Linked DNA regions of Macaca fascicularis. The protein of the gene in region 1 purifies or fractionates together with the protein of each later gene. This does not show direct contact. Links are inferred from orthologs where the notes say so. Each region holds a gene or a part of one and is shown in the gene's direction. Other genes may lie near its edges. The genes, in order: CEBPA, CDK4 and MRTO4.

Region 1 (10,407 bases):
ACACTCCCATCTACAGCCTCAGGAAGAAGGACCTTAAAGGTGGTGACAGAAGAATTTACAAGCTGCTCTTAATGACTGGCTTTGTCTCAATTGCACACGAGCCAGAGCCACTTCTCTCAATTAGAGGTGATTTCTCCTTTGCTCCCACTTCTCCGGCCACAAGCCGACTGTCTATGAGACTGTCAGGCATCAGCCCGCCCCTCCCTTACCCCGTGGGAATCTCCCATGGAAAGTGGCTCCATCGACCCCAGGGTCTCACTCCAACTCCCCAGCTAATTTCCTGCTTTAGGGCTTGGGCAGGACACTTCTACCTAGTGCCCTAGATACCCCTTGTCCTTTGAGCACCCAGCCGGGCCTAGCCAGAGACCTACCACTTGCCCTCAAAACCATTTCCTCCTCATCCCAAGGTACACTCTTAGGCTTCCAAGGAAAAACCAGAACACGGTAGATGGATCTTAGCAACTGCTCCAAGGTCCTCTCCTCCAAAACCACAAAGCAGGCAGGTGAGTATCCTGGAATGAGTCCCCAATTGCCTCCTGGGGGCTTGGAGAGGGGCCTCCAATTTCCTGGGCATTACATATGTCAGGGGGTAGTAATCCCAGCCAGAAGCCTGGCATTCAGCCCCCCAAGTCCTGACATCTTGTTCAAATCTACCCTGCCTGCTCCATACTGGGGCCTCAAGTCTCCATCCTTCCCATCTGGTCAACACCCCCTCTCTGTCTTGGCCGGAGTAGCTTCTCAGGAACCCAAATTGGACGATGAAGCTCCCCTGCTAAAAACTGGAGGTCAAAAGCCTGGGAGATAAGGGTTCCTCCTTCACCTGCAGTGGCCTTGGCCATCAGCCCAGCCCGGTCTGTGGATCCAGCCTTATCTAGGCCCCTCCTCCCTCACCCCACTCTCCAGCCTGCCAAACATCTCGTCCTTTGTTACCAGAACACATGCACTCACAGGCTCTCCACCTTTGCACTTACCATTCCCTCCTCGTAGAAGAGCCTTCCCTCCTTATCCTTCCAGCAAATTCCTGCTCAACCTTCAAGGCCCAGCTCAAAGGTCTGCTCCTGCATGAAGCCCTGTCTCACCCCCCGGTTCAGTCCACACAGGCTGCCATCATAGGCCTACCATAAACATTTATTTCTCACGGTTCTGGAGGCTGGATGCCCAAGGCCAAGGCCAAGTTGCCAGCACCGTCAGGTTCTGCCGAGGGGCCTCTTCCCCTCTTGCAGACAGCCACCTCCTTTCTGTGCGCGCCCATGACATTGTTCTTCTGATAAGGCCACCAATCCTATCAAATTAGGACCCTACCCATATGACATCATCTCACTTTAATGACTTCCTAAAAGCCTTATCTCCAAATACAGTCACATGGAGGGGGTTAGGCCTTCAACATAGGAATTTAGGGCAGGGACACAGTTCAGTCCATAACACCTCCCCAGACAAATCTGATCTCTGCCTCCTCCACAGCGCCACCTTGTTCAGGGCGGGAAGTCTCTTCATCATAGCACATCCACCCTTGATTCCCATTTGTGCCTCCTGTGCATTTGATGAATGAATGAAGTCCCATCCCCTACTCCTTCTGTCTCCTCCTTCCTCCCAGCAGCCTCTGTGTGACAACTTATGAGTCTCTCCCACTGTCCCAGTTCCCAGAGGCACAAGCCACCTTCTCACGCATCACTGGGCTCTTGGCACCCTGCACAGGGCAGGCTCGGGTGGGCGAATTCTGGTTCAATTGTAGGAGGACCTGTGGCCCCTAGGGTTGGAGACCCCCAGGCCGGGAGCCCCACTCCTTGCCACTGTCGCCCCCACACATTCATCAGCCCGCTATTGGACCAAGTCTTATTCCCATTACTGAGGTTTCTTCCAGTCCTACCCAGCAGAGTTCCCGATCTCCGGGCAGGCAACAGCAGCTGTGCAAAAAAGGCCAGACATCGCCTTCGTCCCACAACTCCACAGGCCGGGAACCGTGCATGTATAGAGGCGTTTCTTTGTTCCTAGCTAGGAAAAGCCATTAGTTTTAGCACTGCAGAAAAACATGCAAATCGCTCTGGGTGTTTTTTGATTTCCGTCCAGGTCTCCCTCCACAGGTGGATGGTATATGAATGGGTCCTGCATTTGGCTCAACAAGCAGCTCTTCGGCTCACATCGGGTTATTTATTTAACGTATCTGGTTTTTACTCCCTCCCGTCCAAAAGCGTCAAGCTAAAAATATCTTGTTTATGAGCTCTGGACCGAAAACGAAGCAGTTGGGCTATTAATCACTGGGACTATGTTGAATAGGAACTTGATTAAAGCGCAGTGTGCATTGCCCAGAAGAAACCGCTTCTTTACTGCGATCGTCGTGGAAGCTCAGGGCTCTCCAGCGGTGTTTTTAGCTGCGCCCCCTCAGGGGCTCCTGGGCGGGTCGTGGCGCCTTGCCAGGTCTTCAAGAAGGCCACAGGTCCTCCTACAGCTGAAGGGGGTCTTCCCTCACCTGGAGGCAAGCGCGCCTCTAGCCAGGACCCAGACTGCGTCAGGCCTCAGAGCCAGTGGCGAAAGGCGGCGCAGGCAGGGGCAGGAGACACTTGAGGGCCCCCAAGACCCCATCTGGGCCCAGCTGACAGTCCGCAGCCCCCACCCCGGCCGCGGTAAAGAATGCGAGGGACGCACGTGGCCGGGGGTCTCGGTAGCAAGCTCCTTCCCCCGCCGCGGTGAAAGCGTTAGCGTGCCACACTCAAGGGGCCCCAGGGCCCAGCCGCCTCGGTCCCCAGGATCCCGGGGATCACAGCGCCCAGCGAACTACCGGGCAGAGTTCTTCCTGTGGGTGCTCGGACCTGGCGGCCCCGGCGGCCTGGACACCCTCGCTCCGGCCGTTGGCGCCCACCTGAATGGGGGGTGGGGGGAGGAAGCGGTGGCTTCGGGCCTCGCGGACTGCGGCCCCCGCCTCGGGATCCCGGCCCCAGAGTCAAGTTTGTCTCCTCCCTCGGTGCGCCCCTCCCCATGGTCGCCCCGGCGTCCAGCTCGGCTATTCCCGGAGCCCGCCGGTCCCTCAGGAAAAAAAATCGGCGACTCCACGCTGGGTAACAACGCCTGTCCCGCGCGCCTAGCAAGTCGCGCGCTCCGGCCTGGAGAAGTAATTATAAAGAAAGTTTTCCAGCCCGGGCGGATCCACCGGCCAGGTCCTTCAGGCTCCCGGGCCGAGGCCGCCTCCGCTCCCCGCGGGGTCCTAGCGCCCCGCGCGGCGCCGCCCGTGGGATTCCACCGTCCTCCGAGAGGTGCCTCTGCGCGGAATCACAGGGGTAGCCTGGAGATCAGAGCTAGGAGACGCAGAGCCACCGCGCTCCGGGTCTCTCCGCGCGTCCCAAACGGCCCCCCACCGGCCCCTGCCCGCCCCGCCGCTCTGCGCCGCAGCCTCCCCGGGACGCGGGTCCCGGACAGGCCTGGTTCTGGCTTTGAAAGAGAGTCCGAGCCACAGCAGCTCAAGACCAAGACTCCCCTCCGCCACCCACCCCTACCCCATGCAGCCTCGGGATACTCCTGGGCTCCCAGCCGTGGCAGAATGTGGGTGCCTAGGGGAGGCGGGAGGAGGGGGCCCCCGCCACCAACCACGAGGGCGCAGGGGCGACAGCTGGGCCGGGGGCGGAGCTTGGAGCGAGCGCCGCGGCTCTGCTGGTCGCGCAGGAGGCGGTGGGCGTTGCGCCGCGGCCTGCCTGAGGAGCGCAGCCCTGGGCCCCGCTTGTTCGCCGCTCCATCCCGGCCGCGCGCTAGGACCCAGCGGGCGCCGCGCCGCCGCCGCCCGGGGACAGAGGCCGCCTCGGACTCTAGGGGGCGACGCGGCCGCGGGGTATAAAAGCTGGGCCGGCGCGGGCCGGGCCATTCGCGACCCGGAGCTGCGCGGGCGCGGGCGAGTCGGGTCTCCGGGTGGGCGGCGGCGACGCCCCGCGCAGGCTGGAGGCCGCCGAGGCTCGCCATGCCGGGAGAACTCTAGCTCCCCCATGGAGTCGGCCGACTTCTACGAGGCGGAGCCGCGGCCCCCGATGAGCAGCCACCTGCAGAGTCCCCCGCACGCGCCCAGCAGCGCCGCCTTCGGCTTTCCCCGCGGCGCGGGCCCCGCGCAGCCTCCCGCCCCACCTGCCGCCCCGGAGCCGCTGGGCGGCATCTGCGAGCACGAGACGTCCATCGACATCAGCGCCTACATCGACCCGGCCGCCTTCAACGACGAGTTCCTGGCCGACCTGTTCCAGCACAGCCGGCAGCAGGAGAAGGCCAAGGCGGCCGCGGGCCCCGCGGGCGGCGGCGGCGGCGGCGGCGGCGACTTTGACTACCCGGGCGCGCCCGCGGGCCCCGGGGGCGCCGTCATGCCCGGGGGAGCGCACGGGCCCCCGCCCGGCTACGGCTGCGCGGCCGCCGGCTACCTGGACGGCAGGCTGGAGCCCCTGTACGAGCGCGTCGGGGCGCCGGCGCTGCGGCCGCTGGTGATCAAGCAGGAGCCCCGCGAGGAGGATGAAGCCAAGCAGCTGGCGCTGGCCGGCCTCTTCCCTTACCAGCCGCCGCCGCCGCCGCCGCCCTCACACCCGCACCCGCCGCCAGCGCACCTGGCCGCCCCGCACCTGCAGTTCCAGATAGCGCACTGCGGCCAGACCACCATGCACCTGCAGCCCGGTCACCCTACGCCGCCACCCACGCCCGTGCCCAGCCCGCACCCCGCGCCCGCGCTCGGCGCCGCCGGCCTGCCGGGCCCCGGCGGCGCGCTCAAGGGGCTGGGCGCCGCGCACCCCGACCTCCGCGCGAGTGGCGGCGGCGGCACGGGCAAGGCCAAGAAGTCGGTGGACAAGAACAGCAACGAGTACCGGGTGCGGCGCGAGCGCAACAACATCGCGGTGCGCAAGAGCCGCGACAAGGCCAAGCAGCGCAACGTGGAGACGCAGCAGAAGGTGCTGGAGCTGACCAGTGACAATGACCGCCTGCGCAAGCGGGTGGAACAGCTGAGCCGCGAACTGGACACGCTGCGGGGCATCTTCCGCCAGCTGCCAGAGAGCTCCTTGGTCAAGGCCATGGGCAACTGCGCGTGAGGCGCGCGGCTGAGGGACCGCCCTGGGCCAGCCTCCGGCGGGGACCCAGGGGTGGTTTGGGGTCGCCGGATCTCGAGGCTTGCCCGAGCCATGCGAGCCAGGACTAGGAGATTCCGGTGCCTCCCGAAAGCCTGGCCTGCTCCGCGTGTCCCCTCCCTTCTTCTGCGCCGGACTTGGTGCGTCTGAGATGAGGGGGCCAGGCGGTGACTTCTCCCTGCAAGGAGGGGAGAATTCTTGGGGCTGAGCTGGGAGCCCGGCAACTTTAGTATTAAGGATAACCTTGTGCCTTGGAAATGCAAACTCACCGCTCCGATGCCTACCGAGTAGGGGGAGCAAATCGTGCCTTGTCATTTTATTTGGAGGTTTCCTGCCTCCTTCCCGAGGCTGCAGCAGGCCCCCATGAGAGGAGGAGGGGAGCAGGCCCGTGGCAGGAGGAGGGCTCAGGGAGCTGAGATCCCGACAAGCCAACCGGCCCCAGCCGCTCCTCCGCGCCTGTCCTTAGAAATGGGGGGAAACATAGGGACTTGGGGCTTGAAACCTAAGGTTGTTCCCCTAGTTCTACATGAAGGTGAAGGGTCTAGTTCCACGCCTCTCCCACCTCCCTCCGCACACACCCCACCCCAGCCTGCTATAGGCTGGGCTTTCCCTTGGGGCGGAACTCACTGAGATGGGAGTCACCAGGTGACCAGTGGGAGCCCCCACCACGAGTTAGACCAGAAAGCTAGGTCGTGAGTCAGCTCTGAGGATGTATACCCCTGGTGGGAGATGGAGACCTAGAGATCTGGCCGTGGGCGGGCTTGGGGGGTGAAGGGCCACTGGGACCCTCAGCCTTGTTTGTACTGTATGCCTTCAGCATTGCCTAGGAACACGAAGCACGATCAGTCCATCCCAGAGGGACCGGAGTTATGACAAGCTTTCCAAATATTTTGCTTTATCAGCCGATATCAACACTTGTATCTGGCCTCTGTGCCCCAGCAGTGCCTTGTGCAATGTGAATGTGCGCGTCTCTGCTAAACCACCATTTTATTTGGTTTTTGTTTTGTTTTGGTTTTGCTCGGATACTTGCCAAAATGAGACTCTCCATCGGCAGCTGGGGGAAGGGTCTGAGACTCTCTTTCCTTTTGGTTTTGGGATTACTTTTGATCCTGGGGGACCAATGAGGTGAGGGGAGTTCTCCTTTGCCCTCAGCTTTCCCCGGCCCCTCCGGCCTGGGCTGCCCACAAGGCTTGTCCCCCAGAGGCCCTGGCTCCTGGTCGGGAAGGGAGGTGGCCTCTCGCCAACACATCACTGGGGCTGGGAGCAGGGAAAGACGGCTTGGTTCTCTTCTTTTGGGGAGAACGTAGAGTCTCACCGTAGATGTTTTATGTATTATATCTATAATATAAACATATCGAAAGTCAATGTCCGTGTCTTTTTAAAACCAGAAAGAAGCTACTTCCAAGGTTGTCTGTGGGCCAGGCCACATTTGTAAATAATACAGCATTTTCCCTGGCGGCAATCCTGACTTTCATGAGCTCTCCATCCACCCCCAGCCCCTCTTTACCCTAAGGGGGTGACTTACTTCCCCCAGGCAACACAAATAAATAGCAGAGGACAAGGCTCCAAACGGAGAGTGTCCAGAGCCTGAAGGCAGTCTCGGGGTCAGGAGAGGGGGCCTTCGAAGAGGTTAGGGGGCTGAGGCTTTGGCAAGGTCTTATCTGCCCCTGGGAGGAGGAGAGGGAGTCCTCTGCATGAGGGGCAGGCCCGGCTCAGCAGGCCTAGGCTCAAGGAGCCCTTTGTCCAGACTTCCTTCCAAATCACCTACAGCTCCAGCCCCGGCAGCCTCACTCACACCCACCGCAGCTCCAGCTTCCACCAGGATCCTCAGCCAGCAGGAATAGGCCTCCAGTGGTAGGACCCTCCAACCCTCTGCTCTTTCCCTAGACCATGTGGCTATACCCTACCCCTTCGAGGCCCAAAGGCAGCCTGAAGAGAAAGACCCCTCCATCCAGCCCTCCACACCTGCCCAGCCCCAGCTCTCACAGGAAAGGGGGCTGAGGCAGGCCTGCAACAGGGGTCTGGTCCTGCCCCACACACTGGCTATTCAAGAACCGCCCCAGCATCCACACTCCCCACTGCATTCATCCTGTACCCAGCAGGGGCCTGAGTGCTGGCGTGCCCCCAACTCCAATGAGCACCCTGTAAGCTCAGGCACTCCAGCACCCTCTTAGCAGCAGTGACAGCTAAACAAGGGAGGGCAGCCCTTATCCCTGAACTAACAAGGCCCGGGAGGAAGAGGCCCAGGAGGCTAATGGTGCTTTTCAAATTTTATCCTCTTGGAGGGTAAAAGATAAATTGCGCTTTTTTTTTTTTTTTTTAAACTCTGCACCGAGAGAAGGTTCACTGAGTGGCTTACTGTGTGTGCCAATGCGGGCTGGGGCATTTTCGAGAAATTACACATTCCTTTTACACTCTGGAAGTTCAGCTTTACCTGCTTGCGTGGTTAGCTGGCACCCCTTCCGGCCCCCTGCTCTGTCCTGTGTCTGGCCGCCTCCTCACCCACGGCCGCCCTTGGCAGAGGAGAGGCCACGAGCCCAGTGAGGAGGCGGCGCCTGCCCTGCCACCCTGGGAACAGAGGAGGCAGAGCCCCACCGCGTGCCCAGAGGCCTGGGGCAGGCCACAGCTTGCTGAGCCCCAGCAAACCCTCTGAGTTCAGTGCTAATTCCAGTTTTTCTTGTTTGAGGGGGCTGATCCCTGGCTTCCCCCTTTCCCCCCAGAACAGGTCCTAGGACGGGAGGGGGTGGGGCGACCCTCCTGTCCTCACTCCTTCCCCTCCTCTCTGCTGTGCCAGCCCACTAGGGGTTTCCTCTTTCAAAGCTGTCGGCTCCGGAAGGGATCTCTCCTACCCCGAGTCCTCCTGGTCCTGAGTTCCAGGGTGGGCTTTGTTAGGGACAAGACGGATCCAATCCCATCCAGCCCCAGGAAAGGGATGAGGAGGGCGAGGTCTCCAGGGTGGGCCAAAGTAGAGGGGAGGAGGGCCCTTTGGGCAGCATGGGGTGAACTTGCCCAGCACGTACCCCGTGCCCAGCCGTAGGGGCCTCCTGGGAACAGAGTCGCCCTTTGCCGCCCACCGCTTCCTGCAGGGTTCCTCACAGTTCCCCTCCTGACTGCGGCCTTCAGGAAGAACCACTCCAAGAGCCCAGCACTGAACACACCTCAAGTACTTATCGGATGTCTACTGTATGCCAGGGCCTGCACCAAAGATGGGGCGCTGGGCTGGGAACAAGCAGACTCTGCTCTGGCTCTCAGGGAGCTCACACCCTTGAGGCCCCAAGCTGTGGTTTAAGGGTGCCAAGTGCAACGAAGGGGAGCTCAGAGTGTGAACGGGGTCCACAAGGGAGGGCTTTCTGGAGGCAGCAGCTTTGATGAAACACCTAGGGAGGGTGGCCTCCTTCTGGCCACCTGGATGCGTCTGGATGCTTCTCCTTTGCCCTGATCTCCCCTTGACAGGTAGCACCAGACTGCAGGGACCTCGCCCCCCCCCCCTTGCTGTGCCACTCCTGAGCCCTCTGTCCCATGACAGCGCTGTTCAGGGTTAGCTGGCCTTCAAGGAAAGGGCAAGGGTAGAAGGGAGGGAGGCATCTCCTCTGCTGCCAGATGCTTCCTGATGGCTTAGTGCTGTCACGGATATTACTCTTATCTCCTGGATCTCCTGGGAATCTGTAAACGTGGGGTTTGGCCCTGACACCTGCGATGAGCCACTGGGCCTGGTGAGGAGTGTCTGCCCCTCCCAGCTCTCCCACCCGCTCCTTCCCAGACAGGAACCTGCCAGGCCTCCTCCAGGAGCTGCTGGTCTCACAGGAGGGGAAGGGGCCCCTCATGGGGAAGGTCAAGGGAGAGCAGAAACCCCCGACTTTGTTTAGCTGAGAGGGGCCTCCAAGGCACCCACAGGCCTTCTCCAGCCATGGGGCAGAGTCCTTGCCTAGATGGTGTTGATATTCCAGCTGTTTCTTTCCTATACTAGTGAGGATGGGAAGGCTTTTCTGTTCTTTTTTTTTTTTTTTTTTTTTAGAGACAGGGTCTCACTCTGTCACCCAGGATGGTGTACAGTGGTGCAGTCACCACTCCCGCAACCTCAAACTCCTGAACTCACACAATCCTCCTGCCTCAGCCTCCTACTCAGCCTTTAAGTAGCTGCTGGGATTAATTTTATTTTTTTGTAGAGATAGGGGTCTCACTGTGTTTCCCAGGCTGGTTCAGAATTCCCGGCCTCAAGCAATCTTCCCTCCTCAGCCTCCCGAAGTGCTGGGATTACAGGCATGAGCCACCCTGCCCGGCCTCTTTTTCCTTTCTTTAGATAAAATTAACCCACCAGCACCTTTGAAAGCTTTCTTGATTCTGTGAAAGACTCTTGCTATCTCTTCTCTCTCGACAGCCCCACCTCTCCCCCTCCCCCACGCCCCTCTCTGCGGATGGAGCGTTTGACGTAAGCTGAGGCCCAGGAAAGATATCGATTCACTATCAAAGCATCCTAGCCCCATCCCAGAGCAATTAAAAAGCCAGATGGAATCTCTGGGAAAACGGCATTAATAACATGAACAATCTGTGTTGGCCGGGGGGAACCCAGGAGCCCCAGGCAGGGGTGGGGCTGTGGAGGGAGGGAAGCTGGGGTGCCTAAGTGGAAGCTCGCAGCAACGTCTCCGCCCTGTTGTGACGGCCGGCTATGGGGCCGCTGCAAGGATATGCTAGGTCCAGCTGCAGCTGGGCTGTCCCCTCCAGCCCTTGCAAGGCCCACAGTGCACCCTGGATCCTGGTGGCTGCAGACCGAGCCAGACAAATGTGGAACCCATTACTCAGACAGCTGCAGCCCTGGCCAGCCCCATTCTGGCACCCAAGAGCTTTGCTTCCCTTCGGTTTGTTTTTATTTATTATTTTTCTAGCCTTCTGGCCCCACCCACTAGGAACAGGCCTCTCCGGGTTTGGCTGGCATAGACACCCTTTCTCTCCATTTGCTGTGCCCACATCCGCTGCCTGTGCTCGACAATAGCAGAAGACAGTGTTGGGGAACCCCAGTGGGCCTGAACCCCAGAAACTCCCCTTAGAATGCAAAGGCTGGGTACAGTGGCTCATACCTGTAATTCTAGCACTTTGAGAGACTGAGGTGGGAGGATTGCTTGAGTCCAGGAGTTCAAGACCAGTCTGGGCAACATAGTGAGACCCTGTGTCTCCAAAAATATTATGCAAGTGTGGTGGCACATGTTTGTAGTCTCAGCTACTCGGGGGGCTGAAGAGGGAGGATCGGTTGAGCATAGAAGTTGGAGGCTGCAGTGAGCTATGATCACACCACGGCACTCCAGCCTGGACAACAGAGCAAGACCCTGTC
Region 2 (10,331 bases), on another chromosome or scaffold:
GCTCTTATGGAGCCTTCACTCTGAGAAAAAGCTCTACCCTCATCACATTTTTTTCTGCCTTACACTTACATTCTCCCTCTCCTTCCCTTTGCAAAGCTGAGGGAAAAGGGATTCCAGGGGAGCTCATTGGGTCAAACGCACTGGGAAAAAAATTAATTAGTGAAAGAGTAATTAACAGAAGAAGGGAGGGGACAGAGCCTGGGACAGACTGCCAAATTAAGGTTCTTCAATAGAAAGTGATGGAGAGACAGTAATGTTCCCATGAAGTATTCAAATGTTTTGGATGGACTAATGAATGAATCAGAAAAAGAGGCTGGGACCCAAGCAGACAGAGAAGACGGCTTCTGTTGTAAAGAGAGTAAGGTGCGAAGGGCTTATGTGGAAGGTGAGGCTGAAGTGGGGAATGCTGGTGTGGGAAGGGAGTTTGAAACACTTAGACACTTATCTTCGCCTCCAGAAGGCTTACAAAGCACCCACCCCTAGCAAGGTAGCCAATAAAACATTCACCTCTTGAGCCCCTTAGTCAGTTCAGTCCTTGAGATTTTTCTTACTAGTGTTTCAGCTGCCCTTGCCAGGAGGGGCCCAGGACTACAAGTATCAGGATGGAAAGAGGGGGCATCTGTATTAACATGTATTCCATTTTGCTCTAAATCACGGTTTATATTCATCTTCTAGTTTGAACTCTTATATTCTCAGCCAGATGGTTAAGGAAAACAAGTTAGAGTGGAAGGAGTGGCAAATAGGGTAATAAAATGGCTTTAGATTTTACACAAATTCTCACAAATGAGACACTAACCGCTTTCCTCCTTTACTCCCATACCCTCAAAGGGCTAGGACATGAAGACCTTGGAGCCAATAAAACAAAGAAAGTAGGAGAAATCTACCTACGTCTACCTCGGTGTCTGTGGGCAGAGGCCATTTGGGAAAAAGTGTGTTCTGGACACCGCTAAGTGCTAAGAAAGAGGCACTAGGGAAAAAGAGGGAAGCACAATGACTCCAAATGAGCAGTCACAAGGTTTACAGAAGGAGACATGTCATTTTCATTCATTGTGGTGGTCTGGAGGGTGCAGGGGGTGTGGTGGTAACTTTCTTGCACATGTACACTCCTGTATCCATCTTATATATTACATGTAATAAATAATATATACATACATATATACATAGAAGTATATATACACATATAAAAATATCACATAATCATAGAACCGTCCTACTGGGGAAAAAAAAAACTTAAAGGTCAAGTATTCCTGTCTCCTGCTCATTAATAACTTCTCTGCCAGATGGCCTCAGGTCTTTGCATTAACACTCCCAGGGAGATTTGGAAGTTGAGAAAAGAGGGGGCATTACCTTGTCACTGAACCTGTTGGATTACTGTATTAATCTGCCTTCTGTCCGTCCTTTAATCGTAGTTTTGCCCTCAAATGGGCATTGTTTACTCCCTATTTTAGAAGACCCCATTGTTGGCTACATCTTTCTAGATAGTCGTACCACTACTTTAAAGGGCCAGTGACAGACACCAGAAACAAAACAAAATAAAAACCCACATACACACTGGAAGCAAGCACTCAGTAAAATGTTGTAGAATTAATGAATGAATCAATGACACAAATGAGAGTATGTTTTATCATGGTGGAGCGAAAAGGTGACAGCATCACCTCTGGTACCCCAACTCCCATTCCCTCCCCAATGTAGACAGGCTGAAAGACCGGTAGTGAGACTGGAGTTCAGCCTTCAGACCGGTAGTGAGACAATCCTTCAGCCGGGAGTTGGGCTCTGGGTGGCCTAGGTTGCCATGGCACCGCCTCGGGCTCCACCCTCTCTTGTCCCCTTACCGCGCCCCCCCGCGGCGGGGGTTGTGGCAGCCAGTCATGTGCCCGCCGCGTAACCACACCTCTGCTCCTCAGAGCAATGTCAAGCGGTCACGTGTGATAGCAACAGATCACGTGGCTACCATCGCCCCTCCGCCCCCTTACACTCTTCGCCCTCCTCCCCGTCAAAGCGGCTCCTGGCCACCCCTCCGCGCATGGGTGGCAGTCACGTGCCCAGAACGTCCGGCGTTCGCCCCGCCCTCCCAGTTTCCGCGCGCCTCTTTGGCAGCTGGTCACATGGTGAGGGTGGGGGTGAGGGGGCCTCTCTAGCTTGCGGCCTGTGTCTATGGTCGGGCCCTCTGCGTCCAGCTGCCCCGGACCGAGCTTGGGTGTATGGGGCCGTAGGAACCAGCTCCGGGGCCCCGATAACGGGCCGCCCCCGCAGCACCCCGGCCTGGCGTGAGGTAAGTGCAGTCCCTTCCCGGGAATGAGAACCAGTGCCCGCCCCCCTCACAGTTTTCCACGCGTTCGTTTCTCGAGCTGGTTATGGAGGGGTCGCTCAAGGGCGGGAAGTGGGGCCTTTGTGGTCATGGGAAAGTATAATTTTAGGGACTGAGGTGTAGGATCTTTGATGCAAGGCATGTGTCATGTGTGATCTTTGTGCAGGGCGCGATTGTCCCAAAGGAAAATGCGTTTTTTATTGCAGGGCCTCACGTGGCTGGAGGGGTTGGTATTGAGTCATTGTGTTATCTCTGGGGCCGGCCCCAAGGAAGGCTGCGAGCGGGGGATGGGATGCTAGTGTTGCTCTTTGTGCTTTTTTTTGGGAGTCCTTTTGTTGCTGCAGGCTCATACCATGCTAATTCTGTAAGGGACTTTTGGTGATAGGAGTCTGTGATTGTAGGGTCGCCCTTGATCTGAGAATGGCTACCTCTCGATATGAGCCAGTGGCTGAAATTGGTGTCGGTGCCTATGGGACAGTGTACAAGGCCCGTGATCCCCACAGTGGCCACTTTGTGGCCCTCAAGAGTGTGAGAGTCCCCAATGGAGGAGGAGCTGGAGGAGGCCTTCCCATCAGCACAGTTCGGGAGGTGGCCTTACTGAGGCGACTGGAGGCTTTTGAACATCCCAATGTAGTCCGGTGAGAAGGTGGTGACGAGGGGAGTGGGGAGTAAAGGGAAAAGACAGCCTATAGGTGGGGTGTGGTGATCTGTAGAGAAGTGGGGACCCTGAGGAAATAATGAGAGGCCATGTTGGGTTAAAGGGGATTGAAAAGTGAGCATTTACTCTGGCCAGGCTGATGGACGTCTGTGCCACATCCCGAACTGACCGGGAGATCAAGGTAACCCTGGTGTTTGAGCATGTAGACCAAGACCTAAGGACGTATCTGGACAAAGCACCCCCACCAGGCTTGCCAGCCGAGACCATCAAGGTGAGTGGGCTTGGTAGGCATTGAGAGGTGGATTGGGACCTTTGTAGTAAAACCTCCTGGGATTTCAGGTATGGTGCCTAGTTTCCAGTGCATCTGTACCTCCCCCTTCTAAACTAGGATTTGATGCGCCAGTTTCTAAGAGGCCTAGATTTCCTTCATGCAAATTGCATCGTTCACCGAGATCTGAAGCCAGAGAACATTCTGGTGACAAGTGGTGGAACAGTCAAGCTGGCTGACTTTGGCCTGGCCAGAATCTACAGCTACCAGATGGCACTTACACCCGTGGTCAGTAGAAAGATGGTACCAAAATGGGTTCTGGTTGGGAGTAGGAGAGTGATTGCCTGTAGCAATTGAGAAGTCATGTGCTTCATGTGTTCAGTCAAGCAAGTTGTGTTTTGTGGTAACCCATGGAGTCCCCATCCATTCTTCCTATTCTCTTTAGGTTGTTACACTCTGGTACCGAGCTCCCGAAGTTCTTCTGCAGTCCACATATGCAACACCTGTGGACATGTGGAGTGTTGGCTGTATCTTTGCAGAGATGTTTCGTCGAAAGTATGGGACCCACATACCCTGGACCACCTTGAATTCCCCAAATTGCTTGTTCATAAACCACGTCCACACCCTGCCCATTCTTTCTTTTTCTTTTTCTTTTTCTTTTTTTTTTTTTTTTTTGAGACCAGGGCTTGCTTTGTTGCTCAGGCTGGATTGCAATGGCATGATCACAGCTCACTGCAGTGTCAACCTCCTGGGCTCAAGTGATCCTCCCATCTCAGCCTCCCAAGTAGCTGACACTCCATGCCCAGCTAGTTTTTTAATATTTCTGTAGAGGGGGGGGGTCTCAGTATATTGCCCAGGCTGGTCTTGAACTCTTGTACTCAAGCAGTCCTCCCACCGCTATCTCCCAAAGTGCTGGGATTACAAGCGTGAACTACTGGACCTGGCCCCATTCTTTTACTTGCATACTACTGACTACTTTGCCCATAGCAGAAAGCTCTGAAATGCTCTAGAATTAGGAACTTCATATCCCTTTATTCTCTTTTATTTATTTATTTATTTTTGCAATAAGGTTTCACTCTGTCACCCAGGCTGGAGTGCAATGGCCCAATTACAGCTCACTGTAGCCTCTATCTCCTGGGCTCAAGCAATTCTCCCGTCTCAGCCTCCTGAGTAGCAGAAACTATAGGTGCATGCCACCATGACTGGCTTTTTTTTTTTTTTTTGAGACGGAGTCTCGCCTTGTCGCCAGGCTGGAGTGCAGTGGTGCGATCTCAGCTCACTGCAACCTCCGCCTCCCAGGTTCAAGTGATTCTCCTGACTCAGCCTCCCAAGTAGCTGGGACTACAGGTGCGTGCCACCACGTCCAGCTAATTTTTGTATTTTTAGTAGAGACGGGGTTTCACCATGTTGGCCAGGATGGTCTCAATCTCTTGACCTCATGATCCGCCTGCCTCAGCCTCCTAACGTGCTGGGATTACAGGCGTGAGCCACTGTGCCCAGCAATTTTTTTTTTTTTTTTTTTTTAAGAGACAAGGTCTTGCTTGCCCAGGCTGATCTGGAACTCCTGGGCTCAAGCAGTCCTCTCACCTCAGCATCCCAAAGTGCTGGAATTATCGACCTTTATTCCCTGTGCTTTCTATTTTGGGCCACTAAGCAGTAACCATTCAACTAAGATATCTTTGAAAATGACTGCTACCTTATGTCCCTTCTCACCTTAGGCCTCTCTTCTGTGGAAACTCTGAAGCTGACCAGTTGGGCAAAATCTTTGAGTAAGTGACCAACGGGGGAGAAAAAGATTTTCTATTCTCAGTCCTCTTTCTGCTAAGCCCAGGATGGCAACTGGCTCTGCCCATGGGGATGGGAACTGGAGGACCCTCCTGACCAGAGTTCTCCTGTCCCCCACAGCCTGATTGGGCTGCCTCCAGAGGATGACTGGCCTCGAGATGTATCCCTGCCCCGTGGAGCCTTTCCCCCCAGAGGGCCCCGCCCAGTGCAGTCGGTGGTACCTGAGATGGAGGAGTCGGGAGCACAGCTGCTGCTGGTACTGGAGATGGCTGTGGGCATAGGGAGAGACTGGGGAAAGAAATAGAGCAGTGTGCAGGGCCCTGGCCACTGTGGTTAATGAAACTTGGTTGGTAGATGGGCTGTAGTTTTTATTACAGCTGCAGATGGCCACCCACAGAGAGGGATGTGGAAGAGAACCCATCCTGGCTGGGCGTGGTGGCTCACGCCTGTAATCCCAGCACTTTGGGAGGCCAAGGTGGGCAGATCACCTGAAGTCAGAAGTTGGGAGACCAGCCTGGCCAACGTGTTGAAACCTTGTCTCTACTAAAAATGCAAAAATAAGCCGGGCGTGGTGGTGCACGCCTGTAATCCCAGCTACTTGGGAGGCTGAGGCAGGAGAATCACTTGAACTCTGGAGGCAGAGGTTGCAGTGAGCTGAGATCATACCATTGCACTCCAGCCTGGGCAACAGAGCAAGACTCTGTCTCAAAAAAAAAAAAAGAAAGAAAAGAAGAGAGCTCATCCCAGGTATTGTCATGGGTGGGTAGAAGTCTCTCTCAGTTTTCTTCATGGTTTTCTGACCTTTGGCTCTCCCCTCAGGAAATGCTGACTTTTAACCCACACAAGCGAATCTCTGCCTTTCGAGCTCTGCAGCACTCTTATCTACATAAGGATGAAGGTAATCCGGAGTGAGCAATGGAGTGGCTGCCATGGAAGGAAGAAAAGCTGCCATTTCCCTTCTGGACACTGAGAGGGCAATCTTTGCCTTTATCTCTGAAGCTGTGGAGGCTCCTCCTCCATCTTTCTACAGAGATTACTTTGCTGCCTTAACATTTCCCTCCTACCTCTCCTTTTGAGGCTTCTCCTTCTCCTGCCCCACTATTTCTCTACACTAAGGGGTATGTTCCCACTTGTCCCTCTCCCTACCTTTATATTTGGGGTCCTTTTTTATACAGGAAAAACAAAACAAAGAAATAATGGTCTTTTTTTTTTTTTTTTAATGTTTCTTCCTCTGTTTGGCTTTGCCATTGTGCGATTTGGAATAACCACTTGGAAGAAGGGACTTTCCTGCAAAACCTTAAAGACTGGTTAAGTTACAGGGCCTAGCAAGTCAGTGGAGCCCCTTGACTGACAAAGCTTAGAAAGGAACAGAAATTGCTTCTTTGAATATGGATTTTAGGGCGGGGCACGGTGGCTCACACCTATAATCTCAGCACTTTGGGAGGCCAACGCGGGTGGATCACCTGAGGTCAGGAGTTCGAGACCAGCCTGACTAACATGGTGAAACCCTGTCTCTACTAAAAATACAAAATTAGCCGGGCGTGGTGGCGCACACCTGTAATCCCAGCTACTTGGGAGATTGAGGCAGGAGAATCGCTTGAACGCGGGAGGCAGAGGTTGCAGTGAGCTGAGATCATGCCATTGCACTCCAGCCTGGGCAACAGAGCAAGACTCAATGTCAAAAAAAAAATATATATATATATAGATTTTTAAATGGCTTTTTTATATTCACTGAACTTTCTCAAACTGGGTCCTGCTTATTACAGGAAAGAGCTCTTGGTGGTTTTCTCCTTGGCTCTGTCCCTGATTTACCCTTAGAGCCACACCCCAGAGTATGTTGAGGTGATCCAGCATATGGACGGAGGAGGGGAAACAGCTAAGAATGACTCCAGCCTATCCTATGTACCCTCAGAAGCTTCCCATATCCTCTTGGAGAGAGAGGGAGAAAGTTTTTCCTTTTATTCCTTATAGTCTGGCTCCCACTAAAATATGTCAAGCCATAAAGTCTTGCTATTCCATCAATTTTAGAGGATTTGACAAGGGGCCTTTCCTTTTTCTCAAACCAAAATGGTTACAGACCCTAGATATTCCCTAAGGGAGGAAGAGAAAGCTTAGAGCAGAAGAGAAGTCAGAAGGATCCAAAGTCTCATAGAAAGGCACTGGGGTTGGCTCTAGGATCCTTCTGATTCCGAAATCTCATTGCTAGCCAAACACCAAGGATCTGTAGGAACAAAGGGAGAGAGAAGCATCAATCAATTCTCAGTCTCAAGTTGAAAAGGATGTGCGTGAGGAAACTGGAGAATGTACCTCTGTAAAGCTAAAGAAGAGTCCAACACCCCCTAGGATTTTCAGGGCTTCATCTGAATGCTTAAGAAACTTTTCTCCACACATCTGGCATGTGGGGCTCTGGTTCTTGCAGATCTGAGGATAAAACGTGTGTGTGAAGAATGCAAAGTTGCTAATGTAAAGTTGCTAGTCACCAATACCTATGCCGAATGTCTCTAGAAACTTTCCTGTTATCTGACCAGCGTCCTACAAACTAAAATCCGACTTGGCTAATTCCCCAGCCTCTTTATCCACCCCCACCCCCCACCAATACACAGCCCCAATACAAGAGGGCTTCTCGAGAAACAATGACATTCGAACTAAATTTGCCAACTTGGGCATTGTCCTTACCCAGTTTCCTACCTCCCCTGCCTGCTGCACCACCCCCAACACACTCACTGCAGTGCAGAAATCATAATCTTGTTGGTACAGGGTTGTGAGGTTGAATAAGCCACAACAATCAAAACTTCTTTCCAGTTCATCCCGAGTCTTGTTGCTCATGACCCACCAAGAAGCATTGATGACATCTGTCTGGAGGATATGGGCAGAGAGAAATTAAGTCTCCCTACATCCCAGTATCAGTTCAAGTGCCTCAATTTCCCTAGTCCAGCAAAAGAAGTCAACCAGAAGCATAATGGTGTGCCACAATTATAGACACAATACATATCTACCTTTTCAGGTTCTCTAGATCATCCTCATGAAAAATTAACCAGACATTCCAGAGGAAGCAAATAGCCCAAGGGGCCAGAAGCAGTGCACCTAAGGATGATCTTTGGGTAGCTGGGGCCAGACTAAGGAAGGAGTTTGAGGTTAAGAGGAAAATTTTAAAAAGCAAGTAAGTACTTGAAAGGGTACTGTCTTACCTGTTTGCTTCGGTTAATAGCCAGACATGAGCAAGAGATTACAAATTGGAAGATGAAGACCAAACCAAGGATGATCATGTACTGAGAGGAAAGGTTATGGAAAAAAGTCCTAGATTCCTTTATGTTCCATCTATAACTGGTCTCATCTGTTCATAGAACTTATACCACCATGTCAAATTGAAAGCAATAAAATCAGCTCTTGTTTCGTAGATTATGGGACAGGGCAGGGCAAGGAGACATGTCCAAAATCCCTGAGGTCCCCTACCCTTTTAACATCTTCCATAGATGACAGCCCTCCCAAGAGCCCAGTTGCCCCCATCACTTCAGGTTAGGATACAAAGAACAGCAGGACTTGGTGGTGGTTGACAGCACCCACCAGTCCAGCCACTGCGATAAGGAGAAGGAAGACTCCCACAGCAATGACTCCGCCGATGATGTGGATGCTGGACACCAGACCCAGGCCCTTGCCCCAAGCAGCCACTCCAATGAGCAACAAGCTCACCAGCTACAAAGAAAGCAGGATACATCTCAAAAATTCTAGCATGAGCACGGCCCAAGGCCATTACAAGAGGACTTGGGGGCGGGGGTGGGGAAGGAATAATAGAATGGTGTGTGAATGGGAGGGAGGGGGGTGGGCGGGGCGGGGGTGGTGCTATCGCCACCAGGAGCATCCCTGGGCATTCCCAAAGGTTAGAATGGCTGGGATGGGGTATAGGGGGTGGCAGGGATAGTACTATGAATACAAAAGCTGAACCCTCAGGATCATCCTATCACTTCTACTTTGGGAGAAACTGAGGTTCAAAGGAGGGAGGGATGGAACTTATGCCCACGGCCTTAAGTTCATTCCCCCACCCCCAGACAAACCCCTTCATCAACCGGTAGTCTTCCCTCTCCCACGGAAGTCCCCAGGAATTCCCTCTTCGCCGGAAGTTCCTGGGAATCTTCCCGGAACCCCTATACACCCCTTTCCCCAACGGAAGTACCCTGGAGATTCTCCCCACGGGGCCTTTCCGCCCGAAAGCTTCCCCCACCTCCAAAACCTCACCATGTAGACCACGTTGAGAGCGCAAAGCGCATTCTTGGAGCAGGCAAAGCCGCCGCAAACCATCTCCCCAGCTCTGAGGACCCAAGTGGTCCCAAGGACTTGGGGGGAGGGTATTGGGGACCGTCTTCCAGGACCCCGACAGCTTCTGTCTCTTTAAATCGAGGCCAGCCAAACCCAATTCTCTGCGCCTGCACCGTCCCTCCCCTGCCTCTGGATTGGCGAAATGCGTGGCTAATCCTGGACGTCCAAGGCCTGCATGCCAATCAGCCCGCATTACGTCACTGACCCGCCTTCTGTCCTCCTCCTCTTGTTTTTTCATTGGGCGAAACTGAAAACTAGGGGCAGGGCTTCTAGAGATTCTCTCAGGGACAACAGTCTAAACTCCAAAAGCTTGAGTTGAAAGCTGAGCTTTCTGTGGTCGGAGTTAGGAGAGGGCTAATTCGAGGGAGACGGCTCTGGAGGAATTTAGGTGAAGGGGACACGGCGGGAGGGGCAGGTGGGGGGCCGCTCCGAGAGCTGGGCAGAAAGGGCTCCACCGGTAGAAGGAGGGCCCTTCCGCCCTCCCTTCCCCCTGTGCTGCAGTGACTTCATGATGACGCCATTGTTTTGTTAATGCGTCACGCTCGGGAACACCCAAAGGAGCCACATATTGAGCTTATTTAGCCCGGCCACAGAGTCCGCGGATTGGACACAGCAACACCCAGCAAATCATCATACGTTTGTGTGTCCGCCAGTACCCATGTCCTCTACCATATACCCTCCTAAAAGGGGTGTGAATATACCAGAAATTCAGTGTGGAAATAGCGGCCTCAGGCCAGCGCATTCCTGTGTGTGGCATTGCCACAAGTGCACACACGGGTGTGCTCAGCATTTTCAGAGTACACGCCTGATCCAGGGCTTGCAAAAAATGACAGGCAAGAGGAAGAGTCTTGGATATAAATAAATATAAGGGGAAGGAGTCTCCACCTTTTCACTTACGGGTGGACTGATCAGTAACTTTATTATCTAGTAAGTGCTTTGACAAACCGTCCTTTTCACGGGGGTAGGGAAAGGCATAATCCTTCTCTCCCCAGGAGAAA
Region 3 (9,572 bases), on another chromosome or scaffold:
GAGGTAGGCAGATCTCTTGAGCCCAGGAGTTCAAGACCAACCTGGGCAACATGGCAAAACCCATCTCTGCAAAAATACAAAACTCACCTGGGCATGGTGGTGCATTTCTATGGTCCCAGCCAAAATTAGCAGGCCATGGTGGGGTGTACCTGTCATCCTGTGGGAGGATTGCCTGAGCCCAGGAGCTCAAGGTTGCAGTGCGCCAAGATCGTGCCACTGCATGCCAGCCTGGGTGACAGAGTGAGATCCCATCTCAAAAAAGAAATAAATAGGGGCCTGCCTCAGCCAGCAGGTGAGGTCTGCCACTGAGAGCACTCCCAGCAGCAGGAACAGTCTCCACCCCCACACCGCAGTCAAGTTTTCTGGGTGAGCCTTAGGGGCTAAGAAAGGCTTAGTTTGTCTAAATAGCAGGAGTTATATCCAGAGATCTTCAGGGCCAGGATGCTAATGAGTAGGCATTCCATGGGCCCTGGAAATGGCTTTGTGTGCCAGAAATGATGGCCACGAAGGCCTTGCTGCCTTTTTTCAGAATGGCTGCATCCCACTGAGCTCTCTGCCAAAGGGGAGAAAAAAATAAGTGTCCAATGCATCTAGATTGGTCCCTCATCATCTCTCTCCTTTTTGTTTTTATTAGTCTCCTTAACCAAAACTGCCAAGAAAGGCTTGGAATTGAAACAAAACCTGATAGAAGAGGTAAGAAGTTTTCTTTTTCTAGAGCTTGCAATTGTTTGTTTTATCAAGGTAGGTATAGGACTGTTGGCCAGGGGAGCATACTATTGGAAAAAAAAAAAATCTCCAAGCTGCTAATCCAGCCCTTTTTCCTCCAGCAGCAGCACCAGCAAAAACTTCCATAGTGATGATTTCCAGCTTTGACTAGCTCATACTCTGTGCCCTGTCCTGCACTAAGTGTTTCTTATGTGTCATTCTACTCCATCCTCATAACATCGCTGAGATGTGGGTACTAGGTGATGATGTTGCTGTTTTGCATTTGGGGTCACTGAAGCTTATAGAGGTTTGTTAGCCTGCCCAATGACAAAAAACAGGAGGAGGCCAGGAACGGTGGGCCACGCCTGTAATCCCAGCGTGGGATTACAGTAATCTGGGAGCCCAAGTGGTCAGATAGCTTGAGTTTGAGAGTTCAAGAGCAGCCTGGACAACATGACAAAACCTCATCTCTACAAAAAGAAAAGAAGAAAAAAAAAAAAAAAGCTAGCTGGACATGGCAGTATGCAGCCTGGGCAACAGAGTGAGACCCTGTCTTTAAAAAAAAAAAGCTGGGAACTGGCCGGGCGCGGTGGCTCAAGCCTGTAATCCCAGCACTTTGGGAGGCCGAGACGGGCGGATCACGAGGTCAGGAGATCGAGACCATCCTGGCTAACACAGTGAAACCCCGTCTCTACTAAAAAATACAAAAAACTAGCCGGGCGAGGTGGCGGGCGCCTGTAGTCCCAGCTACTCAGGAAGGCTGAGGCAGGAGAATGGCGTGAACCCGGGAGACGGAGCTTGCAGTGAGCCGAGATCCGGCCACTGCACTCCACCCTGGGCGACAGAGCGAGACTCCGTCTCCAGAAAAAAAAAAAAAAAAAAAGCTGGGAGATTTACCAGGTGTAGGTGACTGCACCAACCCACTGTCTGTACAGCTTCTGACTTGCCAACCTGGGCTGCAGGCTGGATGAAACAGTCTCCTTCTGCACAATGACTCCACTCCTGGAGGCTGCCTCCTGGTGGCTTTGGCCAGCACCACGTGCAGAGCAGTGCCGATCAGCTGCCTCCCCTTATAACAGTGAGGCTCCATATGCTTCCACGTAGCAGGACCCTTCGTAGTGTGGGTGAATGTTTCTAGGTTAACCGTTGATGGTCAGTTCCACTGTTGGTCATAGATAAGTGAGAAACCTGGAAAAGGCCGTGGGGTATAGATCCATGGCTCAGCCTCCCCTGTAGTTAGGGATCCTAATTTCAGTAATAGAGGTAGGAGACAACCCAATTAGAGGCCTCCAGTTCTTCCAGTTTCCATAGTTGTCAGGGGCCCAGAGCAGATTCATTCTCATCTGAGGCCAGAGTAGTGCCCATTGTATGCTGCTGCTTGAACTCAGAGCCTGGTGAATTGTCCCACAGCTTCGGAAATGTGTGGACACCTACAAGTACCTTTTCATCTTCTCTGTGGCCAACATGAGGAACAGCAAGCTGAAGGACATCCGGAACGCCTGGAAGCACAGCCGGTGAGCGGGCAGGGGGAAGAAGGCCCTTCTGAGTGGGGACCCGGCCAGGCTGCTCTCAGTCAAAGTATAGGAGCAATTTCTGACCCTTTAGGTGCCTGGGTCATGCCACTGACACCTTAATAATGACAAAGTGCTACCTGCCACTGAAGAGCACTTCCTTTTCACTGTTACAGCTGGTCTTGGGCCGGGTGCGGTGGCTCACACCTGTAATCCTAGCACTTCGGGAGGGTGAGGCAGGCAGGTCACCTGAGGTAGGAGTTTGAGACCAGCCTGGCCAACATGGCAAAACCCCTTATCTACTGAAAATACAAAAATTAGCCGGGCATAGTGGCGGGCATCTATAATATAATCCCAGCTACTCGGGAGGATGAGGCAGAAGAATTGCTTGAACTCATGAGGTTCAAGTGAGCTGAGATCGCACATTGCACTCCAGCCTGAGTGACAGAGTGAAACTCCATCTCAAAAAGAAAAAAAGCAGATGTTGCACTGAGCTCCTGGGGGCAGGACTTGGCAATTGAGGTGTTTGAGAGGTGGTCCTTTCCAGAGAAGTGGCCCTTTAACCCTGGACTTTGGGCCATTTAGGAGCATCACACCAGTTTTAGAATGTCAGCATGGGCACTGGGACACAGACAGTCACCTGGGAGCAGGATGCAGGAGCCACATGGGCAGTTTCTGTCCTGGAGCAGGTGGCTCTGGTGTTGGTCTCCTGCCGCCCCAGCTCTGGTTCAGGCTGTTAACGTGCCTCCTGCATACATCCAGATGGAGAACCCGTACATGATGCTCGTGATGGGCTGGGAGACAAAGTGTTGCCATGTCAGGGGTCTGTGGGTGGGAACATAATGAAAAGGACCCCGAAGTGGGGACAGTGTGGCCAGGCAGCATGGAGAAGTGAGTGCCACTGGCTCAGCCTGGGCCTGAGCTCACTGGGGACCAGAGCTGCTTTGCATGTTGCTAAGGGGCGGGGAGGGCAGGGCACTTCCTTCACAGAACGCTCTTTCTCTTGCTTGGTAGGATGTTCTTTGGCAAAAACAAGGTAATGATGGTGGCCTTGGGTCGAAGCCCATCTGATGAGTACAAAGACAACCTGCACCAGGTAAATCTCTGGTTTTCACGGGGTGGGGCTGAAGCAGAGCCGCCTTCTCTCCCACTACTCCCACGTGATAGCCTCCCCTAGCCGTCGGCTGGCCCGTGGCTCAGGGAGAGCAGGGCCTGGCTTAAAGCTCCGGGTTCTCCCTTCACCTCCGGACCCAGGGAATAGCACCCTTCCTGCCTCCCACTCCTTCCTGCTGTGACCACCAGAAACATCTTTAAACGTTGCCAAATGTCCCCTGGTGAGCAAAAACGTGCCTAGTAGAGAACCACTGCTCTAATGTGACCAAGCTGGCCTCACTCTTGATTTGTAGGTCAGCAAAAGGTTGAGGGGTGAAGTGGGTCTCCTGTTCACCAACTGCACAAAGGAGGAGGTGAATGAGTAAGTACTGCTGAGGAACGGAGAGAAAGAGGCGGGTGAGGGGGATTTCAGGGAGGGGATGATGCAGGGACTTCATTCCATATGCGGCATCAAGTCGGAACTGCTCCTGGAAGCCTGTCACTGAGCTAGTGACCTGGGACCACAGCCCTCTCTGCCCTCTCCAGCATGGTGTGGTGGGCTGACTGCTGGCCAGCAGCCAAGGTCTGTAAAGGCCCAGGGCCACGGGACACTTGGGGGAGCCTGACTCATGGGCTGGTGGTGTGGCCAGGAGCATCCCCTCCTACCGCTTCTTTTTCCCTTAGGTGGTTCACAAAATACACAGAAATGGACTACGCCCGCGCTGGTAACAAAGCAGCATTCACTGTGAGCCTGGACCCGGGGCCCCTGGAGCAGTTCCCCCACTCCATGGAGCCACAGCTTAGGCAGCTGGGCCTGCCCACCACCCTCAAGAGAGGTATGGGCAGCCCTGGAGCCAAAAGCTCACAGCCTAGAGTCCAAGAGCACAAGCCTGCAAGCTCATCCCTTTCTGGCTGAGCAAGTTATTTCTACAAGCCTCCATTTTCTCATGTGAAAATGGGGCTAAGGGGCGGGCGTGGTGGCTCAAGCCTGTAATCCCAGCACTTTGGGAGGCCAAGGCGGGTGGATCACGAGGTCAGGAGATCGAGACTATCCTGGCTAACATGGTGAAACCCCGTCTCTACTAAAAATACAAAAAACTAGCCGGGAGTGGTGGCGGGCGCCTGTAGTCTCAGCTACTTGGGAGGCTGAGGCGGGAGAATGGCATGAACCCGGGAGGCGGAGCTTGCAGTGAGCCGAGATCACGCCACTGCACTCCAGCCTGGGAGACACAGCGAGACTCCGTCTCAAAAAAAAAAAGAAAATGGGGCTAAGAGTGCACGCCTCACAGTTGGGTTCCAGCAGACAGTAACTTATAGTCTTGCAGCTGTTGAGGGACAGGGACATCAGGGGCCTGGTGCCGGTTTAAAAAAAAAAAAAAAAGTCAAAAAATTAGACAGCCATGGTGGTGTGTGCCTGTGGTCCTAGCTACATGGGAGGCTGAGGCAAGAGGATCACTTGAACCCAGGAGGTCAAGGCTGTGGCGAATCAAAGGGACCTCAGGGAGACAGCCACTGCCCAGTGTGTGATGGAGCTGTGGGGAGGGCAGGTGGCTGACTGGATTCCTCCTAACGTGGCAGGGACAGAGAGGGCTCTGCAGGCCTCTGGGCCAGAGGTAACTGAGAGCCACCCTCTTCTGCAGGTGTAGTGACTCTGCTATCCGACTTTGAGGTGTGCAAGGAGGGCGATGTGCTGACCCCAGAGCAGGCTCGCATCCTGGTGAGTCTGGCGCCTTGAGGGCTATTGCAGGAGGGGCCGCTGGCTGGCTTCTGCCTGCTGAAAACGACCCCCTGCACTTTGAATACCTCCATTCCTCCTGATTCTTTGTTCCCTTTGTCTCTTGCAGAAGCTTTTTGGGTATGAGATGGCTGAATTCAAGGTGACCATCAAATACATGTGGGATTCACAGTCGGGAAGGTTCCAGCAGATGGGAGACGACTTGCCAGAGAGCGCATCCGAGTCCGCAGAAGAGTCAGACTCAGAAGACGATGACTGAAAGGGACTCAAAATTAAAGGCCTCCTGGAACCTTCTGGGTCTCACTGGACCATGCAGGACTGCTGCCGCCCCTCTGAAGAGAGCAGCTGTTTATTTGTCTGTAGACAGGGAATGTGATGGGCACTGACCTCCTATAAAGAATAAAACTCTGGGCCGGGCTCAGTGGCTCAAGCCTGTAATCCCAGCACTTTCGGAGGCCGAGACAGGTGGATCACGAGGTCAGGAGACCGAGACCATCCTGGCTAACACGGTGAAACCCCATCTCTACTAAAAAATACAAAAAACTAGCCAGGCGAGGTGGCGGGCACCTGTAGTCCCAGCTACTCTGGAGGCTGAGGCAGGAGAATGGCCTAAACCCGGGAGGCGGAGCTTGCAGTGAGCTGAGATCCGGCCACTGCACTCCAGCCACTGCACTCCAGCCTGGGCTACAGAGCGAGATTCCGTCTCAAAAAAAAAAAAAAAGCTCTGGGCCAGGTGCAGTGGCTCACGCCAGTAATCCCAGCACTTTGGGAGGCCGAGGCGGGCAGACCATAAGGTCAGGAGATAAAGACCATCCTGACACAGTGAAACACAGTGAAACCCTGTCTCTACTACTGTTGCCCAGACTGGTCTGGAACTCCTGTCTTCAATCAGTCCTCCTGCCTTGGCCTCTCAAAGTGCTGAGATTAAAGGTGTGAGCCACTCTTTTTTTTTTTTTTTTTTTTTTTTTTAAATGGCCGAATAATAGTCTGTTGTATGAATATGCCACATTTTCTTTATGCATTCATTCATTGATGGACATTTGGGTTGTTTTTAATTATCAGCTATTATGAGTAATGACACTGTGAAAACTCATTCCCAAGTTTTTTGTGGGGAGATACGTTTTCACTTCTCTTGGCTATATACCCACAAGTGGAACTGCTGAATCCTATGGTAATTTTATGTTTAATCCTTTGAGAAGTTGCCAAACTATTTTCCAAAGTGGTTGTACCATTTCACATTCCCCCCATCAGTGTGTGAATTTTCTCCCGTCTGTCTCTTGCTCACTCTCTTGCCATGTGACATGCTGGCTACGCTTCCCCTCTGCCATGACTGTAAGCTTCCTGAGGCCCTCCCCAAGAGCAGATGCTGGCACCACACCTTCTTGTACAGACTGCAGAACCGTGAGCCAAAGAAACCTCTTTTCTTTGTAAATGACCCAGTCTCAGGTATTCTTTTATAGCAACGGAAACAGACTAACACGCAGCATCCTGGGAGGCTTTATTCTTCGTTTGGTGGTGACTCTACTGTTAAGTTTTTGTCCAAATACTTCCGTCCCTAAGAATTTACTGAGGCAGTTCTAAATTACAAAAAGCATGAGAGAGCAAAAGAGGTGACAGAAGAGCCTTGGGCAGCCTGAGCCACGATGGGCCTAGATGAAGTAGTTGGGACATTCGGGGGCAAACAAATGCCAGGCTTGATTAAAGGCATCCACGACAGCTGGCTCCAGGGGCCCTTCCTCTGCCGCTGCCAAGTTCTGCTCCAGCTGCTCCAGGCTGGACATGCCCAGGATGACCGCGTCCCCGTGGGCACCCTGAAAGGGAGACAGCCAGACTTCAACCTTCTTCTGCTACACAGCGACTTCACTCACAACCCTCCCAGTCACGACCCTACCGAGATTTGGGCTCTTTTATATCCCATATGTCCAGAAAGAACTTAAGGTGCCTTGGATAGCTGTACCCATGTCACTCAAAACCTGTATTATTTCCCCTACTACCACATGACGCTTCCAGACACACCTACATTCACAGCCCAGTTCTGCCCCCCAGCAGCCGTGTAAAGGTGACTAAGTTATTAAAACCTCTCTGACACTCAATCCTCTATTTTCAACATAATTATGTGTATGAAAAAGTAATGTAGAGCACTTAGCTCCTATTTATTGAGCACCTACTATATATGTGCCAGACACTATTGCAACATCTAAGGCTGGAGTTGGAGAAAAATTTGAAAGAGGAAGACATGAGGCACTGAGAGGGAAATTCCAGCTCCCACCAAAAGGATGAGATTAGTGGGCTTTACAGTTAAACCTGTGTTAAAATGTATTCCCCTTTCATAGCTGGGTGAAACTCAGTTTCCTCATCAATAACACTGGGACAGTCATTTCATAAAGCCAAAGGAATAATGAAATCCCTGCAGCAAAGCCCTCATTACAAAGCCTGGTACTCAGATACCATCAGAGACCGATGGGAAGGCGGAGCACAGTGGCTCACGCCTGTCATCCCAGCACTTTCAGAGGCTGAGGAGGGTGAATTGTCTGAGCTCAGGAGTTCGAGACCAGACTAGGCAGCTTGACGAAACTCAGTCTCTACTATAAATACAAACAATTAGCTGGGCACGGTGGTGCACGCCTGTAATCCCAGCTACTCAGGAGGCTGGGGGAGGAGAATTGCTTGAGTCTGGGAGGCAGAAGTTGCAGTGACCTGAGATCATGCCACTGCACTCCAGCTAGGGTAACAGAGCGAGACTCTGTATCAAAAAAAAAAAAAAAAAAACAGTGGGAAGAGTTTTATGAGACTTAGAAGAATGAAATTTCAGAGGAATCGAGAAAACAAATGCTTTGGGCTTCACCTAAATGCTGGTCCCCCTGGAAGGGAAGGAGCTGAGGGCCCAGGGTCGCTGGTTACCTGCAGCTGTGAGTGGTGGTACATCCACCGGAGGGCGGCTGAGGTCGTGCTGGGGGTGCCGGCGCCATATGCAGCCTGCAAGGCCTTCTCTACCAGGGCAATCCCCTCGAAGTGGTTCTCCTTCCAGAAGCTGGAAAGGGGGGACGGTGGCACAGGGGTCAGTACCATGGGGGTCATACTGGGAGCCACAACCAAAAAGGGTCATCCAGGGCCACTGGCCCACCCCACACCCTGCAGCCCTGAGGGGAGGGTGTCCTTTCTGGTCATAGGTCTCCCACTTTGCTGGGCATCAGAACCACCCAAGATGCCGGCCCTCTCAACAGAGACCTCAACCAATCTTTATTCCTGAGAACTCATCACCCTGCTCTTATTTTCCCCTAGGGACACAAAGGCCGCTGAGACGGGGCAGGACTCAGCCCGAGGCCTCCTGGACCTCCCTCCAGGGCGCCTTCTTTCCTTCCTAGCAGGTGAGTGCTCAGGAAAGAGCTACAACTTCAAGACCCTGAGGTCCAGGGAGCCTCATTTTCTACTGGAGGTCCCCAGACAACAAGAAAACCCCCGTAGGGTTTGGAAATTCCTGAAGGGATGCAGGGGAGTAGGTGCAGCAGCGAGGAAAGGCCTTACCCCAGGAGCAGCCAGGACTTCATTCCACATAAAGCCGACCCCACCCCAGCCATCCACACCAAGCACCCCCAGCTCACCGATTCCTGTAGATCTCTGCCCACTGATGCCCAAAGAAGCGGCCCACGGGCTGTTTCCCGTCCTTGTCTTCATACTTGTACTTGCCAGTCAGCAGGCCCCCTGCGGGAAGGCAGCGATCAGCCCAAGGACCTAGAGTGCCCCAGAAGCTGCCACATCCCTCAGGGCTCTGGTCTAGGGGAGGGGCGGGGACCCAGGAGGGCTGAAGGACGCAGCCCAGCCCCTTGTCAAACCCTCCCTGCTTCCCAGGTCCTGGGCTGGGCATCTGTGGGTCGGGAATAGGCTGAGTCAGGGTCAGGAATGCTCCACGTACCAGCCAGAGGGTTGTAGGCATAGAACCTCAGTCCAAAGTGCCTGAGGCAGGGGAAGAGCTCTGTTTCCACTTGCCGGGTGGTGGCGCTGTACATGCCCTGCAGGGAGAGGGACCCCGGAGAGAGAGTGGATGTGTCAAAAGAAGGGACCTCAAATTTACCCTTATAGAGCCCTTATTTCAGACCTTATCAATTCTAGGACTTTAACCATCTGGGCATTTACTTACTCTTATGGTGCTGGTGAAAGGGGCTTATGCCCGAGGAAAATTCATTCATTGAGCCAACTTTCATGAGCACCAACTACAGGCTGGTTGTCAGATTTAGATTCTTAAGCCAAAAGGACAGGGTCCCTTCCCTCAAGGTTTTATAATAAGGTCAAGTATAAATAGTTACAATCGAGTAATGAGGTAATCTTAATAGACGAGAAAGTTCCGTGACCAGTGCCTGGCACCAAGCAGGTGTACAAATATTTGTGCAATGAATCATGAGGAGGTAAACAACGACCTGAGGTCTCAGGGTCTTCTGGGCCCATCTAGAAAGGCTTCCAGAGGATGAGACGTATATGAGATCTGAACCGTTCTCCTAGGGAAGGGGCAGTGGCATGGAAGGGACAGTGGC

What was found.
Region 2: the proteins of CEBPA (region 1) and CDK4 purify together in Homo sapiens (affinity purification with western blotting; 3 studies listed by BioGRID, with this or other methods). This does not show direct contact. The link is inferred for Macaca fascicularis from reciprocal best matches to the Homo sapiens genes CEBPA and CDK4.
Region 3: the proteins of CEBPA (region 1) and MRTO4 purify together in Homo sapiens (affinity purification with mass spectrometry; 3 studies listed by BioGRID and IntAct, with this or other methods). This does not show direct contact. The link is inferred for Macaca fascicularis from reciprocal best matches to the Homo sapiens genes CEBPA and MRTO4.

The regions. Positions count from the first base shown.
Region 1 is NC_088393.1:40,579,576-40,589,982, reverse strand, and holds CEBPA (CCAAT/enhancer-binding protein alpha), read left to right. Parts: upstream 1-3,848; 5' UTR 3,849-3,968; coding exon 3,969-5,045; 3' UTR 5,046-6,446; downstream 6,447-10,407. UniProt on the Homo sapiens protein: Transcription factor that coordinates proliferation arrest and the differentiation of myeloid progenitors, adipocytes, hepatocytes, and cells of the lung and the placenta.
Region 2 is NC_088385.1:64,563,001-64,573,331, reverse strand, and holds CDK4 (cyclin-dependent kinase 4), read left to right. Parts: upstream 1-2,148; 5' UTR 2,149-2,272; intron 2,273-2,709; 5' UTR 2,710-2,728; coding exon 2,729-2,946; intron 2,947-3,101; coding exon 3,102-3,237; intron 3,238-3,354; coding exon 3,355-3,522; intron 3,523-3,679; coding exon 3,680-3,789; intron 3,790-4,952; coding exon 4,953-5,003; intron 5,004-5,139; coding exon 5,140-5,275; intron 5,276-5,838; coding exon 5,839-5,931; 3' UTR 5,932-6,213; downstream 6,214-10,331. Other genes in the region: TSPAN31 (tetraspanin-31), read right to left, coding at 7,166-7,240, 7,327-7,440, 7,744-7,875, 8,208-8,288, 8,545-8,712, 9,253-9,315.
Region 3 is NC_088375.1:215,824,316-215,833,887, reverse strand, and holds the end of MRTO4 (mRNA turnover protein 4 homolog), read left to right. Parts: intron 1-634; coding exon 635-693; intron 694-2,115; coding exon 2,116-2,219; intron 2,220-3,230; coding exon 3,231-3,312; intron 3,313-3,622; coding exon 3,623-3,690; intron 3,691-3,992; coding exon 3,993-4,144; intron 4,145-4,948; coding exon 4,949-5,025; intron 5,026-5,152; coding exon 5,153-5,302; 3' UTR 5,303-6,475; downstream 6,476-9,572. Other genes in the region: aflatoxin B1 aldehyde reductase member 4, read right to left, coding at 6,693-6,854, 7,945-8,074, 8,646-8,745, 8,957-9,053. UniProt on the Homo sapiens protein: Component of the ribosome assembly machinery. Nuclear paralog of the ribosomal protein P0, it binds pre-60S subunits at an early stage of assembly in the nucleolus, and is replaced by P0 in cytoplasmic pre-60S subunits and mature 80S ribosomes.